Linked DNA regions of Cricetulus griseus. The protein of the gene in region 2 binds, or shares a complex with, the protein of the main gene of each other region. Links are inferred from orthologs where the notes say so. Each region holds a gene or a part of one and is shown on either strand. Other genes may lie near its edges. The genes, in order: Peli1 and Mdc1.

Region 1 (8,085 bases), on a different chromosome or scaffold from region 2:
AATTCCTTTCAGATCAAGGGCCTTCTAAATATGGAGGTCAGTTTGATGTAAAAAGGACGTACAGATTACCCTCCTTGAGAGTTCATTTAGGAAAAGTACATATAACTTTTTTCCTTGCCCAAAATATGGACATTTCTTTACTTCTTCTTCTTCTTCTTCTTCATCATCATCATCATCATCATCATCATCATCATCATCATCATCATCATTATGACACGGTTTCTCTGTGTAGCCTTGGCTGTCCTGGAACTTGCTCTGTAGATCAGGCTGGCCTCAAACTCAGAGAACCGCCTGTCTCTGCCTCCTGTCTGCTGGCCAGATTTATTTTTATGTGTCTGCACATGTGCAAGCGTCTGCACATGTACAGGTGCAGGCCACAAAGGTCAGAAGAGGCAGTCAAAGGCAGTGAAAGCCACTTGCCGTGGAGGCTGGATGAAACTCCCTTCCTCTGCAAGAGCAGCAAGCACTCTTAACTGCTGAGCCACCTGTCCAGTCCCTGAAATTCCTTTAATACAGACCAGTAAGTATAAAACAGAACTACCTCTCAATGTACTTACACAAAAACACCTGACTAATGATTTTTATCTCTTGAGTCTAAAAACTTGAGTTTCATAGAAAATGAGCCATGTTTTATTTCTTAGCTGATAGGAGAGAAAATTCAGGGCTTCTGGGAACATAGAACCTTTATCATCATAAGCATGATTCAGGTAGCTCAGTTGCCAGCTCTCTAACAGGCCTAATTTAGAGGACCAGAGACATTAGTGTTCCATTAAATGCAAACTCCTATGTATTTAACATGATGACTACGTCAGCAGAGTGAGGCAGATCTAGTTAGTCTGGGGTAGAATTATCACTTCTGGCTTCCCATTCTCAATTGTGCAAAAAGGAACCCACAGAGACAAATTCAAATATCTATTTTGAAAAGTATTTACTTAGTTTGAATAAATTAATTGCAAATAAAAATTAAGCTACAATATATAGCCTCAACAGAAATGACAAGAACAAACACAACACAGGACTCGATTTCCTTGCATTAGTCACAAATCATGTGACCAGAAAACTTCAAAATCAACTAAATCTCTTTGAAAAAAGGGTAATAACCAGCAGTTACTGATACATCACAGCTAACTTATAATACAAATTTCTTGACATGCATTTCCTGAGTGAACCCAAATGATCATTTTCAAAACAAAGAATTTGACAATCAAGTAAAATAAAATAGTTCATGGCTTCTAAGTGACTTTTTTGTTTTACTTAAAAAAAAATCAAAACACTGATGTAGTAAGATGAAGTAAAGCTATACTACCACATATAAGAATTTGACAACAGTCGATTAAGTATTATACAGTTTTTCAAACTAAAGGAAAGGAAACCAAAGATTGAAAGATGACTCTATCTAATCTAAATGTATGCTGATTTCTAGAAGTGTTAAAAGGGTTTGGTGTAGTGCAACTGTTTGTATGTCTGGTGCATTTTAAAAAAGGCTAGGGTGAGAAGAAACTGTCTTGCAAAGCACATACTGGAATTAGAGAACTAAGAGACCCTGCGGTGTGTCCTCCTCTGCTGTCACTCCCCTCCATCCGCCAACCAGACATTTCACAAGTCACACTGAGGCCACTGTCCTTAGGAGTCAAGACCACAGTTAAGGCTGGTCTGCTGGATTAAAAGGGAGGTACTACTGTCATTCAACCCTTTGTAGTTTTAGATTTCTACTGCTTGGAATAACCCAAATACAGAATAATTTACAAAACGCTTTTTATTTCTTTTTTTCTAAAAGCAAATCAAGTAATTTTCTTTTATTGTTAATTTCTTGTTAATTTATGTACTTTCTCATAGGATTTTTTTCTTTTTTCTTTTTCTTTTTTTTAGAAACAGTGAACAGATGAACCACAGTTTATATCCAAAAAAATAAACTTGCCAAATGTCGCTGGCACTAAAAACAGATCAGTTACCATGGGAGAAAAATAGATCATCTAGATTAGATTGCATATTCAAAGGAGCATATAAAATGTCTCTTAGCATTAGCTTTTGTTATAGTACTACACTTGAGAGAAACATTAAGGAAAAAAATGTTTTCCGATTAACTTCAATGTGGTTAAAAAACAAACACCTCTTAGACAATGGTAATTAATGTGAATCTGGTTTTATGAAATACTCTAATTCATCAAATTCCCTACTTATACAGGCCTGGGGGAAGGAAGATCTCTTGTCTTTCTCCTTAACTTTGCAAATCCTTGAGCTATGTGCCCACTAAACTACCATTCACACCCAAAGTGTGTGACACCATCATTACCATGCTACTCTATCACGACATTCTAAGGTATTTTCTATGATAAAGATAAATAGAAAAAAATTAATATACATGTTGCTATATTTTACAATGTTTGCAACAAATTGTAAACTAACGTAGTTTGAACCAACAAACCCTCAGTTATACAGAACAACTCAACACTGAGTATGGGTGGTGATTCAAAACACTAAAACGAAGGCATCAAATTAGACTATGTCTTTTTCTCCTCAAAATATATTTTCAAAACTCAGAATTCAGAAGTCTGGAACTTTCAAAATTTCCTTTGCTTGATTTTCTCAGATTTTTTTCAGAAATTGCTATTATAAATATTTAAAAAATTCTTCATCTTAATGCAATGACCAGAGCAGAGAAACTTACGTGGACAACTGGTTGGAATACCCAACTCACTTAGCTTATAAACTTATAATGCAGTCCTAGAGACAGCTGTTAGTCTAGAGGTCCTTGGAAAATAAGTCTGATATAGCCTTGTTCACCAGCCAACTGATGTGCACAAAAGGGACAGGCTGCGTGAAAAGTGTGAGTACCATGAGGAAGTGGGATCTGTGACCAATAGGCCGTTGTCTTTTCTGAACACACGTGCCCACAAGGGCTAAAGGCATGGGTGGGAGGGCCGGCGTCCACATAAAATCCAGCTTCACATCCAAGCCACAGAGGGACATAGGGACCAACAGACCTACACATAGGACATTCACGATCTTTTCCGTCACGTTCTTCTTTGTTTCCCCAGTTATGATAACCATGAACATGGCCGCAGTTTAGATATACCCACGGTTGTTTTTCATCTACAACGTCTTTCCTCTTCATACTGGGAAAGGCTAGTGTGTTGAACCCTACAGGGCACTGAGGTCGGGCTGCATTGATTTCCTGTCTTAAAGCTTCTAAGTGCTTCACAGTAGGAGTGTGGGAAAGGCCTTCCGCAGTACGCCAAAGCAAGGTTGCACCACAAAGGTCAATTAAGGAGCCATCTTGTAGCTGATTGGTTTCGATTTCCACCTGAAGGAGAAAAGAATCAAAACCGTATTTACCATTGTGTTTACACTAGGTCTTCAGTGAGTCCTAATAAGACAGAGAACCTTCCAGGATTACCTGCTAGACTTAAGGAAGTTTCTATTTGTGTGTAATGTGGAAGTAGAAATTTTAGAAGTTTGAAAAATGCTAAATTTGAAAATCAACAATAACACATTGAATAGCAACTTCTGTCTTTCAAGCCAAAAGACAACTTATGATTTAATTATCTGGCTAATCAACAAACTTAGTTATTTTTAATTAGTTAAGTATAGTCAAAGATATGTACAAAAAAATAGATGCTTAACCTTTTCTAGCTGAAACAAACACCATCCTCTAGAATTAGTGTTTGGAGGTCAGTGTTTGATGGTCTTAGTTTTTGTGTGTCAGGAATATGTCTAAGAGCTGCAAAAACCAATCAACTGACAATCTCTCTCTCTCTCTCTCTCTCTCTCTCTCTCTCTCTCTCTCTCTCTCTCTACTTCTCTCTCTCTCTCTCTCCAGTTCAACTTACCCTATGTTTATTGTTGTAAAAAGAAGCTACACAGTACTTACCATCTTTCCTCTCTGTTGAGCTGATCTGGTTTCTCGAAGACTGAACACATTCCCACAAACTGATATTTCTCTCCATATTCCAGGCTTGGAGTCTTCTGTGAACCCATTTCGTGGATGCATCACAAGAACACCATTAGTGGTCAAGCCATCCATCTGCCCATCAGATGTCTTCCATTTGGCAGCTTTTTCCTATAAAAATAGTGAGTTTCTACTTATGTGCAATTTGGAAATAGAAATTGTATAAAAGAATACATTAGGAAAAAAGGCTTTTTACCCCAAGAAAGATGTTTTTTGATGAATCAAATCCTGCAGCATAAATCCGAGCTGTAAAGGGGGGATTGCGCTCACATATGATCCTACAGGCAAATCTTGAGATAGTGCTTTGTACTGACTGTGTGTCAGAATTACTCTGACTTCCAGGAACTGTGTCAGTTACTACAAAATCAATAGGACTTTCAGTTGACCGACCAATCTAAAGGGGAAAAAAAGAACATATGACTTCATTCAAAGACCACAGTAGAATCCATTAAGAAAGAGATACGGTAAAAGTATTAGGCCTCTGAAATTTCTAAATCTCACACTTAACAATACTTAACTATCTCCATCTACACCTTTGAAACCTAATCTGTCACACTGATACAGCAGTCACTTGGAGCATAGAATTAAGTGGGAACTACAATGGAATTTCCAAGATCCTTAGGGAATAAAGACTCTAATGTGATGAGGTTCTTAGATGGCCTTAGGCTTTAACCCTTTTAAGGTAGAAATATATCTACCATATACTACCCCACCTTAACAGAATACACTGAAGGTGAGTAAATCTTTTATGACAACTCTAGAACATCATTGAAATAAAGCTAACCTGCTGCTGTGTTCCCAAGCTGTACACAAACACTGATCCTCACTGATGGCTGTAGATACAGCCTTGCTCTGAGTCTCTGAAACAGATCTCCACCTCTTTGCATTAGGTTATTAGCAGCTGTCAGTTTTTGCTTTTGGTTGTGCTTGTTTTTAGCAACAAGCCTCTCCTCCAACCACTTACTCTGATAAGGATTGAGACATCAAATAACTAAACTTCAAAGAACAGTACTTCAAAGGTACTTTGTTCCAGGGTCCCCAAGGAAGCACAGAAAAAGAATTCTCTATGTAGGCTGTAGGATTTGTCATACACCTTGGTATTTTTTTTTCATTTCTGAGCAGTAAGGTTTCTAGCTGGAGTCCTTGGTGAGGCAGGTATCAGGGTAAACTATCTTTAAAGTACTAGCTAGTAAGAAAGTTTCTTGCATCTTGAAAGTTGAAGGGGGAAAAAAGAAATGAAACAGACGACAAAAGTGACATGTGTCACTGGTTTTAGTGGAAACGTTTAGAAATCATAGGTTCTATAACATATTAATGATGGCACATAGAAAATATCAACTCTCTACAAACAGGATTCCTTTGGGGGGGGATGTCTAGCTATATAGTCCAAGATGGCCTAGAATTCTACCTCCTTCTGCCTCAGTTTAACCAAGTAGCTGGAAACACAACTTTGTGCCTCGGTGCATGGTTTTTACTTTTCCAGAGGAGACAGAAGTGAACCCAAGGGCTGCCTTAAAAAAAGTCAACCTAAACCAATTTTCTGTTACTTCTATGTACCATGTTCTAGCTATAAGTAGAATTGTCAATTTTCTACCATACTTTATACTATTTCTGACATCCTTTATTTTAGAATCCCTTTCACTGGCTATTGTCAGAAGTCCTATTAAATCTGGTTAGTAGGTATAGATTTGTTTTGTCTCTCTGAGACAGGGTTTCTCTGTGCAGCCCTGGTTGTCCTGGAACTTGTTCTGTAGACAAGTCTGGCCACAAACTCACAGAAATTTGCCTGCCTCTGCCTCCCAAGTGCTAGGATTAAAGGCCTGAAGGTACAGATTAAAAAAAAAAAAAAAAAAGACTATGACGTCTTTTACCTGTCCTTCCTCCCCATCAGAAGTCTGCACTTCTCACTGAGACACTGGAGAGCACCTCCACATGTTAACTGGACTGGAATCTGAATTTTTACCTGACAGACTCAGCATGAATGTTCTTACTCAGTTTGGAATGCAGATAAATCATCCTTCAATAATGAAGTAATTTACTAGACTGGTTTCTGATTTTTCCTAGACTTTATAGTACAGATATCTTTAATTTTCCACAGGGATAATGCCCACAGAAAATTAACTTAGGAAAACAAAGCCAACTACAAAGGACAAGATAAACATATAAATACAAGTTTTATTTTTTGAAGTTAAATTTCAAATATGTGAGCAAACAGCTACTTGTCATTTTGACTTTTAAAAAACTAATCACATTTATTTTAAATATTGCTTGTTGATAAGGATGTGGGAAAACACTGTTACTATTATGTTTTATCGTGATCCAATCTTTCATCACTAAGGATGTTGTTTATTTAGTTTAGCAAAAACAAGGAAGAGAAACAAACATCCATACTCTAATAATAACTGTGAAGATACAATTCTTAAGAAATAATCATACATCTTACAGAGCTAGATGAGAGATCAGCCTCAAACATATTTTGCTAATGATCAAAATTAAATAGATCTCTCAGTCCTTTCATTTAGCATTATAAAAAAGATGAAAACACTAATTGGACAATAATTTTAATTGACTGATAACAGTCAATTCTAGTTAAGTTTCTTTAGAAAACCAAATATTAAGAGAGAAAATATTAAGAATTTCATGTCTCTGGGCTTAACTGCTCTATAATCTATCAGCATATAAAAATAAGTATCAGCATCAGATTGATGCAGAGAATGGGAACCAGAGGGAGAGATTTTTATTATACCAGTAGCCTTGACCAGTTGTGTGCTGAAAACCAAATTCCTCTAACTGATGTAAATAGTTAGAAACTGCCTGTACTCTTTGTTGCTTAGAGAGGAAGGTAGGAGGTGGGTAACAAGAAGTCTAAACTATGTGTAGAATGTTTCTGGTTTTCTGTTTGGAATAGCAACAACCACTATTTACTATGAGTTTACTCTCAGCTGGCTCGGATCTGCATCTGCTCCATGCACGCACCCCCTTAAGCCTCTAACAGTCCTGAGGGAGAGACTATTCTCTGCACTTTACAGAGGAGGAGGAGGCACAGAGTAGCTAAGACATGTTTACCAGGCCAGAAGAGACACTAGATCCCCTGGAACCGGAGTTACAGGCTGTTATGAGCCACTTTAAGGTGGGGCTAGGAATCAAACCTGGGTCCTCTGCAAGAGTAGCAAGTGCTCTTAACCCTCAAGTCAACTCTCTAGCTTCAGAGCCCATCTTTAAACAATACTATGACGACTTTTAAATATGAGGCTTCAAAAATCAACACATATTTTAAACAGATACAATATGAAAGTATATTTAATCTGATCATAGCAAAGTCACTGACAATAGATTTTTAAACCTTTTCATTTTTAAAGAAAAAATTTATGTTATAATACCTGAAACATATCAGTGTTGCTGTCATGAGTATATTCAACCACCACTGTCTGGGCTCGAGATAATGTGTATGATATGCTATGCTGGTCCTTGTTGCTTATTGCCTATGAATGAAAAGGTTAACAGCAAAAATTAGCAGTCAATCAAATCAGACAATCTCTTCAACTAAAGGAAGGTAAAATATTTGTCACATACATGTATACATGATATATCACATACATGATATATCAAAAATTTAAAAAATTGACACTCATCAATTTTTAATCCCTGAGATTTTTCTTGCTTAAAAAGGAGCTATCAATGAAAGCATGAAGGGCAGGATAATGAGAAAGTAGGGCTGGGAGGTATATCAGTGCTAGGGACACAAAGACAGGACGACACCTCGAGCTCACTGGCCAGCCAGCCCACAGTGATTAAAGACCTCCAGGTTCAGTGAGACCCTGACTCAAAAAACAAGATGGAGAATGACTGAGGAAGCCACCAGATGTTGACCTCTGGCCTTCACAGGCACACACACAAACATGCTTCCATATACATACAAGCATGCACATACACAAAATGAGAAAGTAGATTATATGCATTTCCCTTGACAGTGGTCCCTCAACCAGAGGTATTATATAGTTAAGAGGCATCTGAAAATATTTAAATGCTTTTGGCTGTCACAATGATGTTAGTGATTAAATGACTTTTAGTGCACATGGAACCAAGGACTTAAATATCTTGTAACACATGGGATAGTCCTCATAATGAAGAACTGG
Region 2 (9,858 bases):
GTGGGTGTCCATGAGCTGCAGTTCAGAGGCCTCAGCTTCTCTCAGACAAAACGGCTGTGTAGCTAAGACTTCCCAAGGCACATCCTGGGCACCTGGACCTAAAGAGGATCAGAAAAAGGAAATAGGCATGCAGGTAAAAAAGACAATAAGGCTAAGAACTAGGCTAAGACTCACAAAAGGCTAAGTGGGTTACTTAAGGCAAGCTAGAAGTAAGGGTGGTAGTTATGACACTGAATACTATTTAGAAGATTATAATCTCTCCTTCAGGAGGCTCATCTGGAAAATAAGGACTGTGTATGTGGCTGAGGAGAGCATTCACCTGGCATGCATAAAGCCCTGAGTTCAACCTCTGGCATGTAGACACAAAAATTGAGTTTCTGGGCCAATCCCAAATCTCCTGAACTAGAATCAGGGTAAGACCCAGGAATCTGCTTTGATGTGTTATCTTATCTTTTAAGATGTATTTAGAAATGTTTCTTCATATGTATGTGCGTATATCGTGTGTGTGTGTGTGTGTGTGTGTGTGTGTGTGTGTATCTGAGAGGGCCTTGATCTCCAGAAACTGGAGTCTCTCTCAGGTGGTTGTCAGTTGCCTGACAGGGATGAACTCTGTCCTCTACAACAGCTGCCAGCCAGTTCTCCAGCCCATCTTCTTCCCCTTCCTGAGACAGGGTTTCTCTGTGTAGCCATGGCTGTCCTAGAACTTGTTCTATAGACCAGGCTGGCCTTGAACTCAGAGACCCACCTGCCTCTGCCTCCCAAGTGCTGGGATAACCCAGCTCCATCTTGTTTTTTTGTTTTTTTTTGTTTTTTTTTTTTTGAGATAAGGTCTCATATAGTCCAGGCCTCAAACTTTCAATGTAGTCCAGGCTGGTCCTGAGCTCCGGCCTCTGCCGCCCAATGTGTATCACCACACCTGGTATGGATTTTTTCCTGATGCCCAGCACTTGGAGACCCACAAGTTCAAATCATCCTCAGCTACATGAGCTCCTCGTCTCCACACAAACAAGAGTATGAGAGGCTGGAGAGATGCTCAACAGTCAGCAGCACTGACCTCTGTGGGCACCAGGCATGCCCACAGACATGATGTGATACAGACACATCTAACACAGGACACAGCATTAAAGGACACAGCAGAAGAGGACGAGAAAGGATACAAGGCTGAGGGCTCACAGAGACTATCTTGTACCTGGCGTCTGCAGGCTGAGGTGGGAAGGCCCAGGCTCTTGGGGAAGAGTGCATGGAAAGACTTGCGTAGGCTCATCTTCCAAACTCTGGACAGCTGCACAAGAAAAGACGGCTGGAGCACAGCTCCTCCCAGAATGCCTGTGCCCCATGCCCCATCTTGGCCATACCATCTTTCTAGGACTGCCAATCTAATCCCCTGGCTCTTACTGGCACTCAGATGACCCAAACAACACAAGGTCCTCACCTTCTGAGCTCTGGCCCTCCCTGTCTACAAAGCACTGGGTAGCCGGAAGGCACACATCTTCAGACTCTGCTGAGGAGATAAGAGACAGACAGAATGACAACTCACCCTCAGACTTCTACAGTTCTCTCCTGACTCTTACAGCCAGTTTACTTCAGGGGTCAAGGGCAGAGCAGAGAGCAGCACTTACCATCACGGCAGTCTTTGGCATTCTTGGTCCTGCCCATTTGTACTCCTCTCTCCTTTCCTGTGGGGGTCTGGGCTCCCTCTCTCTGTGGCTGAGTGGGATCCCCCAGAGTAGCTGTAGGCACCACCACTGGCTCTACCAGTGTAGCAGGTGACCTGCCTTGGACCCCCACCTCAAGCATGCTCGCCTGCTCACAAACAGTTGCAGCCCACTCTGTCCCAGCATCTTCTACTCCTGGCTGCTTGCTTTGTCTTACATCTGCCGCTGCTGAAGATGAGCCTTCCTCCACAGCTGTTTCCCAGGCCTCCTCAGGAGGCAGGACTTCCTTCCCTGCTTGTGCACTACTGTCTTCTACTGTGGCAGAGGAGGCCTGGTTTCCCTCTAGCTGACCACCAGGGGAGCCCATATCCACACCCTGGTCTACATCATCACTGGCTCTATGGGGAGCTTGGCTCTCTGAATGTGGGACAGTAAGAGCCTCATCTGTGTCCATGGGGCTGTCAGGGACCACTTCTCTCTTTTCCTCCTCCACGTCTGTGTCACTGTCTTTCCCAGAGGCACTCTGGCTTCGTTCTACGAGGACCTGTGGTTGGGACTTGACCTCTTCCATGCCTGGCTCCCTGCTCCACAGAGCCATCCCCCTGTCTTTCAGATGGGCCAAGGTGACTGCTGCTGAGACTCCATCTTCCTCATCTGTGTCGCTGCTGATCACCATGGCCGTGTGGTTTCTCTCTGGAGGGCCAGCCACTGGAGTCTTGCCTTCTTCCACACCTGTGCCACGACCAGCTGGGCTGTCCTGCAGATGGGTCACGACAGGTGCTCCAGGGTCCTTTTTACCAACTCCAAGCAGGACTTGCTTCTTCCCCGGAACTACAGGGGGGGTCACAGGGATCCTGTCTTCTTCCACGTCTGTATCGCTGTCCACAAAGCCGGAAGGCTGGTGTTCTTCACCCATTTCCGTGTTGCTGTCCTTACCCACAGTGGAGCCCCTCCCAACCACAGCCGCTCCATTGCCAGCCTCACTCTTGACTTTTGCATCTCTGAGCTTTTGCTCAGCAGGCTGAGCCAGTACCAGCTGGATACCAGATGTCACTCCATTAGCTTCCAGCTGCTTGGCCTCTGCAGCAGCACCATCCCTGGCAACTGAAGAGGACTCCCCAACTGCTGGCTGTGGACATAGCTCTTCATCTGTGTCACTGCCCAAGTCAAAGGGCAAAGACGGCCCACGGACACTTTGGGCTGGAGAAGACCCCTCTTCATCACTGCAAAGACAGAGAGCCCACAGAATGTACTCCCTGGATAGGCCACCCCACTCCGCTGTGAGGGCCCTGAGAGTGAGCAGGCACTGCTGCCAGGTGTCTTCCCATCCCCACTGAGCACACCACAAGTACTCTTCATAATTTAATTCAGCTGAGGAAGTAATTATGCCTAGGCTCTCGGCTCCACCTGTCAAGATAATCACCTCATTTATTCAAGACCGACTCTTTATTCAAAGGCCGAGGTGTCTAAAACCAGTTAAGGAAGCTCAACCCTATCGTCCCAATCCTGATACTGAACCCAGAGGTCTGCCAGGAGTCTAAGACCAGCTTGGGCTACAGAGACTGTTTAAAAACAAAACAAAACAAAAGATCCAGGCATCTGGTACTTTGCTACTCACCTTTCTGGTACTACTGTTGCTGATGGAGACGTTGGATTCCTTGATCCATTTGCCACATACCTTCCAGAAGGAAAATCTGGCAAGAACAGGAAGAAATAAATTGACAGTTTACACCCTCATTCCTGTCTCTTCACACACATACACCCAAGGCACAAACTTACCTACTTCCTCCTCCGAATCCTCAGCCAACAAAACTCTGGAGGTTTGGGACCCTCCCTGTATTCTGGGGGTCTTCTCTATAGTTAGAAGTCCCCGAGAGACCAAAGGTGGAGGGACATCCAAGCGACGGTACTGGCAGGGAAAGTCTGCAAACAGAATTAATTCCTGGTCCTTCAGACGATGGCTCACTCCAGGGGTTAGGACCTTTGGGGGCTTTACCAGTTGAGTGCCATTGAGGCTCCCACAATCCTGGAGGATAGGGGCTTTGTTGCAAGCTGAGATTTCAATTACTGCATGCTGTTTAGAGATGGATGGAAAAGGCAGGGCCACAGAGCAGTCGGGGCTTCGGCCAATTACATTCTTGCCAAGGTAGAGTGGGAAATCTAAGGATCAAGAAGAAACATTAAGTTGGGCGTTGGTGGCACACACCTTTAATCCCAGCCCTCGGGAGGCAGAGGCAGGTGGATCTATGTGAGTTCGAGACCAGCCTGGTCTACAAGAGCTAATTCCAGGACAGCCTCCAAAGCCACAGAGAAATCCTGTCTTAAAAAAAAAAAAAAAAAAAAAAAAAAAAAAAGAAGAAGAAACATTAAAGAGTAAGGGCAGAGTCCTGGCCTGAATGAAGATGGTACCTACTGCTCACTCAAAGCTCTCACAGGGTTAAGAACAATGGGCACACCAGCGTAGAAGAGCATTCACAATACATCACTTTGCTGTAATATTCTATCTACTCACCTCATCGGTATTGTTCCAACAGATCCGAAAACAGTTTCATGCATGCTAGCTAAGCACTCTTTCCCTGAGCTACTGCCCTTGCTTTGTTTTTGATCCAGGGTCTCACTATGTAACCCAGATTGTTTTCGGACTTGCTATGTGGCCTAGGTTATCCTCAACCTCACCTCCTGAGTACAGGGATCACAGACATGCACCACCATGCCCAAAGGGAGTTTCTTATTGTAATAAAATACACAATATAGGCTGGGCATATTAGCACATGACTTTAGTTCTAGCATTTGAAAGGCAGAGGCAGGTAGGTTTCTGTGAGTTTGAGGCCAGTCTGCATAGTGAGTTCCAGGACAGCAAGGGCTACATATATACTCTGTCTCGAAGAAAAACAATACACACAATATAAATCTAACCATCGCAATCATTGTAAGTATACTGCTCAGTTGTGTTACATATCCATTTCTAGGCCACAATGTATTTTACCTTTTAAAAATTTTATGCCCTTTAGTGATGGCACACACCTTTAATCCCAGCACTCAGGAGGAGGCAGTGGCAGGCAGATCGCTCTGAGTTCTAGGACAGTCTGAGCTAGACAGAGAAACCCTGTCTCAAAATAAATAAATTTTTTATTTACTCATTATTTATGTATATGTGTGCACCTGCATGAGTTTATGTCCACCATATATGTTCAGGTACCCAAGGTCAGAAGAGAGCATCAGATCCCCTGGAACCAGAGCTACAGGTGGTTTTGACCACCATGTGGGTGCTGCAAACCTAAACCAGGTCCTCTTCAAGAGCAGTAAGCACTCTTAGTCCCTGAACCATCTCTTCAGCTCCCACATTCTATTTTTATTCGGAGCTCTTCATTTTCTCCTAACAAAAGAAAAACACTCCCAGAAAGTACAGGGTACCCGCCTGGAACAGTCAACTCAGGTGGCCTCTTTGTCATCCCTAGTACAACAATTATTATCCTCTTAGAAACATACATAAGGTTTACCAATGATCCAACTGCCTCTAAGGAGAAGACAAGACCCAATACTCATTCAGCTCCCAATATCTCCTGACCTCTTTCTGGTCCATGAGTACTACTGAAGAGACGCAGCTGCCCTATAGGCTCCAAGCTATACCCCAAGGACCCACTGGGTATTTCTGTCTCCTCCTCCTCTTCAGCATCCCAGTCAATAACCTGGGTGTTTTCCATGACCTGTGAGGGAAACACATTATCATTGTTCTGGTCATTGGTTTACACACACTTGTAGAGAAAAAATAACGAGATAACCCTGGAGGAACGTGGAGTGACGTGGGGGTGATTCCTGCCTGCCTTTCCTTCCTTCCTTCCTTCTTTCTTCCCAGACAGGGTTTCTCTGCTGTCCTGGAACTCACTCTGTAGACAAGGCTGGCCTCAAATTGACAGAGATCCACCTGTGTCTGCCTCTTGAGTGCTGGGATTAAAGGTGTGCGCCACCATGAGGTGATGCTTTTCTGTCATTCTGAAGCATGTAAAAATATTGGGGTGGGGCATGGATAGTAAGAATGTCAGTGACAGAATGTTTGGCTAGCCTATGTGAGGCCATATGTTCAACACTTAGTACTATCAATGGGAAAAAAACAACTTTTTTGGGGGCCAGCCAGTGGTGACACACACCTTTAACCCCAGCATTTGGGAGGCAGAGAGAGGCAGATCTCTGAGTTCAAGGCCAGCCTGTTCTACATAGTGAGTTCCAGGGCAGCCAGGGCTACACAGAGAAACCCTGTCTAAAAACAACACACACACACACACACACACACAAAACTTTTGATTAAAAGATGTTGGCATATATCTGTAACTCCAGCACCTGAAATCCCAAGGCAGGAATATTAAGAGTTGGAGACCTGGCCAGGCATGGTGGGTGACACACGCCTTTGATTATAGCACTTGGGAGGCAGGAGTCAGTTCAAGGCCAGCCTGGTGTATGTAGTCTGTTCCAAGCCAGCCAGAGCTACTAGTTAGACCCTGTCTCAAAAGAGTGGGGTATAGAAACCACCCTTGGTTACAGTAAGACCTTGCTCCCCAAAACAAAACAAAAATATTATGTATGTGTATATTTATACTTTTGGTCATGACAAAGAATTAAGGTCCAAGTATACCATTATATATACATTATATACAAAGGAATGTTACATGGGATTTTAGGTACTGGAAACTAAACCTAGGGCTCACACATGGCAAATGCTCTACCACTGAGCTATATCTCCAGCCCCAAAATGGGTACTTTTATTTAAAGTATATAAAAGCATGATAAACTGGATCGAGGTAGTGTATGTCCACAGTTCCAGCTGCTGAAGGAAGCTGAAGCAGTGCAATTGCTTGAGTCCAGGAGTTCCAGGTAAGCTGGGACAACATATTAGGACCTCTTTATAAAAAATAATAATAAAATTGCCTGGCCTTGGTGGTGCATGCCTTTAATCCCAGCACTCAGGAGGCAGAGGCAGGCGGATCGCTGAGTTTGAGACCAGTCTGGTCTCCAGAGTGAGTACCAGGATAGACTCCAATGCTACACAGAGAAACCCTGTCTAGAAAAACAAAATAATAATAATAATAATAATAATATAATAAATAATAATAATAATAAATAGCAAGTTCAAGTTAAGCGGTTAAAGGGACGGCTCAGTGGTTAAGATAACTGCCATGTTCTTCAAGAGGTTCAGTTCCCAGAACCCTCACAGCAGTTCATAACTCCAGTTCCAGAGGATCTGACACCTTCCTTAGAACCAGGCCTGGCCCGTGTGTAGGCACGGGTTGCTGAGAAACTGCTACATGAAATATACTGTCTTCTAACCTCTGACACACAGATCTCAGAGAGCTACTGAGGATCAAACTCAGGGCCTTGTGCAAACTCCAGGTTTTGATGTTCTTTTTAGACAGGGTTCCTCTGTGTAACAGCTCTGGCTGTCCCGGAACTCACTCTGTGGATCAGGCTGGCCTCGAACTCACAGAGATCCACCTGTCTCTGTCTCTTGAGTGCTGAGATTAAAGGCATGCGCCAGCACCACCCGGGCCAAACTATTTTTAATACTTTGTCTAATTCATTTATTCTTCCGAAAAACCCTGTAGGTATAAACTATTCTTTTCTTTTTAGGCGGAGAAACTACAACATAGATGGGCTCCAAGTCAAACTTGCCTAATGTAACTCCCTGGCAAGACGCTTTTTTTCCCCTACACTCCAGATGGTAGCGGGGGAGCCGCCTCTGCATCTCCCCACACCCACAACCACGTCCGTCTCATTGACTTGACAATGAGGAAGCGCACCTGGCACCTCAACCAAAATAAACCCTGCTCTCTCTCTCTCTCTCTCTCTCTCTCTCTCTCTCTCTCTCTCTCTCTCTCTCTCTCTCTCTCTCTCTCTCTCTCTCTCTCTCTCTCTCTCTCCTCTCCTCTCTCTCTCTCTCTCCTCTCTCGGGAGCTACGAGGCCAGAGAGCTACTCGTGAAGGGACAGTCTGACGACCAAAAACCTCAAAACTGCCTGGGAAGACCTTTTCTTTTTTACCTATAAAGATGCCACGAGCCGCTGACAGGGAAGTCAACTCCGTCCTGTCAGCCGCGCCGACGCCTACGACCCTTGCTCCCCGTGAGGAGCGACCATCTTTGGCTGACCCGGCGGCCCACAGATTCCCTGTCAACAAACCTTCGCCTGGGCCGCGGTTAGCAGAGGAGGGAGGCCCTGAAGCGACAACCCGAACTACCTCCGCCCAGTCAGTGACACCCCAGCCAGGCACGCCCCTCTGGCGTGGCCACGGCAGGAATCAAGATGGTAACCCGGGCGCGGGCGGCCGACTCACCCACGGAAACCCCGCGCGCGCGCGCGCCGCCAGCAACGGCCGCCACCGCGGTGGCGGGAAAAGCGAACCCCGGAAGAGTCTCGGCGGGCCGATTGGCTGCTGGAGCTGTCTCTTACGAAGCGGAGAGCGCCGATTGGTTAGGATCCCGCGACGGAAGCCCCGCCCCCGCCTCGCCCCCTCACAGCTCAAAAAAAGCGTGGCTGGCGGCGGGAAAGGAGCCGAAGCAAGCGCCGCTAACAGGCAAAGGGGGTGTGGCCTGAGACGCCGGCTCCCTGATTGGCTAGCACCCTGGACCCACCCACCCATCCACCCTCCGTCGCTACGTCCTCTGCCGCACACTTCCCGCGCCGATTTTCCAAACGCCTTACTATAGAGTCTCGCGCCAGTCGCCGGCAGTGGCTAGAAGGGCCGTACCATAGACGTCGTTCCGAGGCCAGAGCGCCCTTCTCGGTCGTCCCAGAAATGGCGCTGGCCGGCTCAACGTGTAATGAAGGGTTTGCGGGCTGCAGTCGTGGCTGCGGGCTGCACACTGCAGATTGGAAAGGTGCCCGTAGGCGTGGCGCTCCAGAACTCCCCGTTGCAGAGGGATTCCATTTGCTTCTGATTTGGAAAGCTTAGCAAGGAATATGTGTGTGTGTGTGTGTGTGTGTGTGTAAAATGACGGACATTTTGAGGTCACCTTCCTAAATGGAAGATCCTAAATAAAACAGACGTGGGTGGGCAAAACTGTTTTACTAAAACCTCAAAATATCTGTCATCTTTCAAAAGATGGGAATGAGATAAAGAAAATTATTATCGTCACAAAACATGAAAGCGTAGCAAGGAAATGGGCTTGGATAGTTTTTAAGTTCTCTCCCATCGGTTATCTCGTTGTGTTCACAATAAACAAATTGGCAGACGTTTGTTTGAAGCTGTAAGTTGGATTCCTTCCCCATGTTCCTACTGCTAACGGGACAAATTCAAGTAACACAAAATTGATCTCTTTCCTTATTATCATGACCCAAATTAATTGTGTTTTTAATGAATGAAGGGGTATTAATGCTATTTAATGTTCCTTTATTTAAAAGGTAACTTGAGCTGTGTATGGACTGAATGTCAGCAATGTCTTTGATACATTTTCTCTCTGACAAAGGGTCTCACTATGTACCTCTGGCTGGCCTAGACCAGGTTAGCAGTGAACTCATTGATCCTCCTGCCTGTCTGTCCACACCTCTCCTTCACGACCTGATACTGCTTACCACACCCCTTCCTTTGTTTTCTCTTTCTTGAGGAGGTATTTACTCATGTGTATTAGAATTTTGTCTGGATGTCTGTCTCTGCACTATCTGAGTGCCACATGCCTGCCGAGGGCGGAAGGGGGTGCCGGGCTCCCTGGAACAGGACTTACCCATAGTGGAAAGCCTTAAATAGTGATGGGAATCGAACCTGGCTCTTTTTCCGAGGACAAATGCTCTTAATTGCCGAGTCATCTCTCCAGCCCCGTGTGTGGTTTGTTTTCAAGACAGGCTCTCACTTTGTAGACCAGGTTAGCCTTCAGCGTACAAGAATCCTTCTGCCTCAACCATCCTACTGTGTGGGAGGTTGGACACAAACTAATTTTCCACTCATTTATTTATTATTTATTTATTCTGAAACTGGGTCTAAAGCTGTACCTCGGGCTGTACAGGAACTCTCTTAAGTAGCCCAATTGACCTTGTACTTCCTGAGATCTTCCTGCCTTGGAGTTACAAAGCAGGTGTTAACCGTGTGAACCACCCCTGCTGACTCTTAGAATCATTTTGTATCCCTCTTACACTTTCAGGATACTCAGTTTCTATCAAATGAAACCCTGGGAAAAGCTTCTGGGCTCTGACTCCCATTTCTCAGTTCCTGGACTCTGC

Evidence for each region.
Region 1: the proteins of Mdc1 (region 2) and Peli1 are in contact, whole or in part, in a crystal structure (PDB 9IF9), measured with the Homo sapiens proteins. The link is inferred for Cricetulus griseus from reciprocal best matches to the Homo sapiens genes MDC1 and PELI1. Residues at the interface, in NP_055456.2 of Homo sapiens: Glu761, Asp762, Ser763, Glu764, Thr765, Gln766, Pro767, Phe768, Asp769; in NP_065702.2 of Homo sapiens: Arg104, Ser105, Thr106, Glu107, Thr115, Asp116, Val130, Gln131, Ser132, Thr133, Ile134, Ser135, Arg136, Phe137, Thr185, Asn186, Thr221, Arg222, Ser223, Ala224, Cys247.

What each region holds. Positions count from the first base shown.
Region 1 is NW_023276807.1:85,379,314-85,387,398, forward strand, and holds the end of Peli1 (E3 ubiquitin-protein ligase pellino homolog 1), read right to left. Parts: intron 7,432-8,085; coding exon 7,330-7,431; intron 4,344-7,329; coding exon 4,146-4,343; intron 4,061-4,145; coding exon 3,872-4,060; intron 3,305-3,871; coding exon 2,738-3,304; 3' UTR 910-2,737; downstream 1-909. UniProt on the Homo sapiens protein: E3 ubiquitin ligase catalyzing the covalent attachment of ubiquitin moieties onto substrate proteins. Involved in the TLR and IL-1 signaling pathways via interaction with the complex containing IRAK kinases and TRAF6.
Region 2 is NW_023276806.1:229,744,490-229,754,347, reverse strand, and holds the start of Mdc1 (mediator of DNA damage checkpoint protein 1), read right to left. Parts: upstream 5,363-9,858; 5' UTR 5,360-5,362; coding exon 5,224-5,359; intron 3,816-5,223; coding exon 3,435-3,815; intron 3,350-3,434; coding exon 3,274-3,349; intron 2,879-3,273; coding exon 1,620-2,878; intron 1,502-1,619; coding exon 1,433-1,501; intron 1,283-1,432; coding exon 1,190-1,282; intron 99-1,189; coding exon 1-98. UniProt on the Homo sapiens protein: Histone reader protein required for checkpoint-mediated cell cycle arrest in response to DNA damage within both the S phase and G2/M phases of the cell cycle.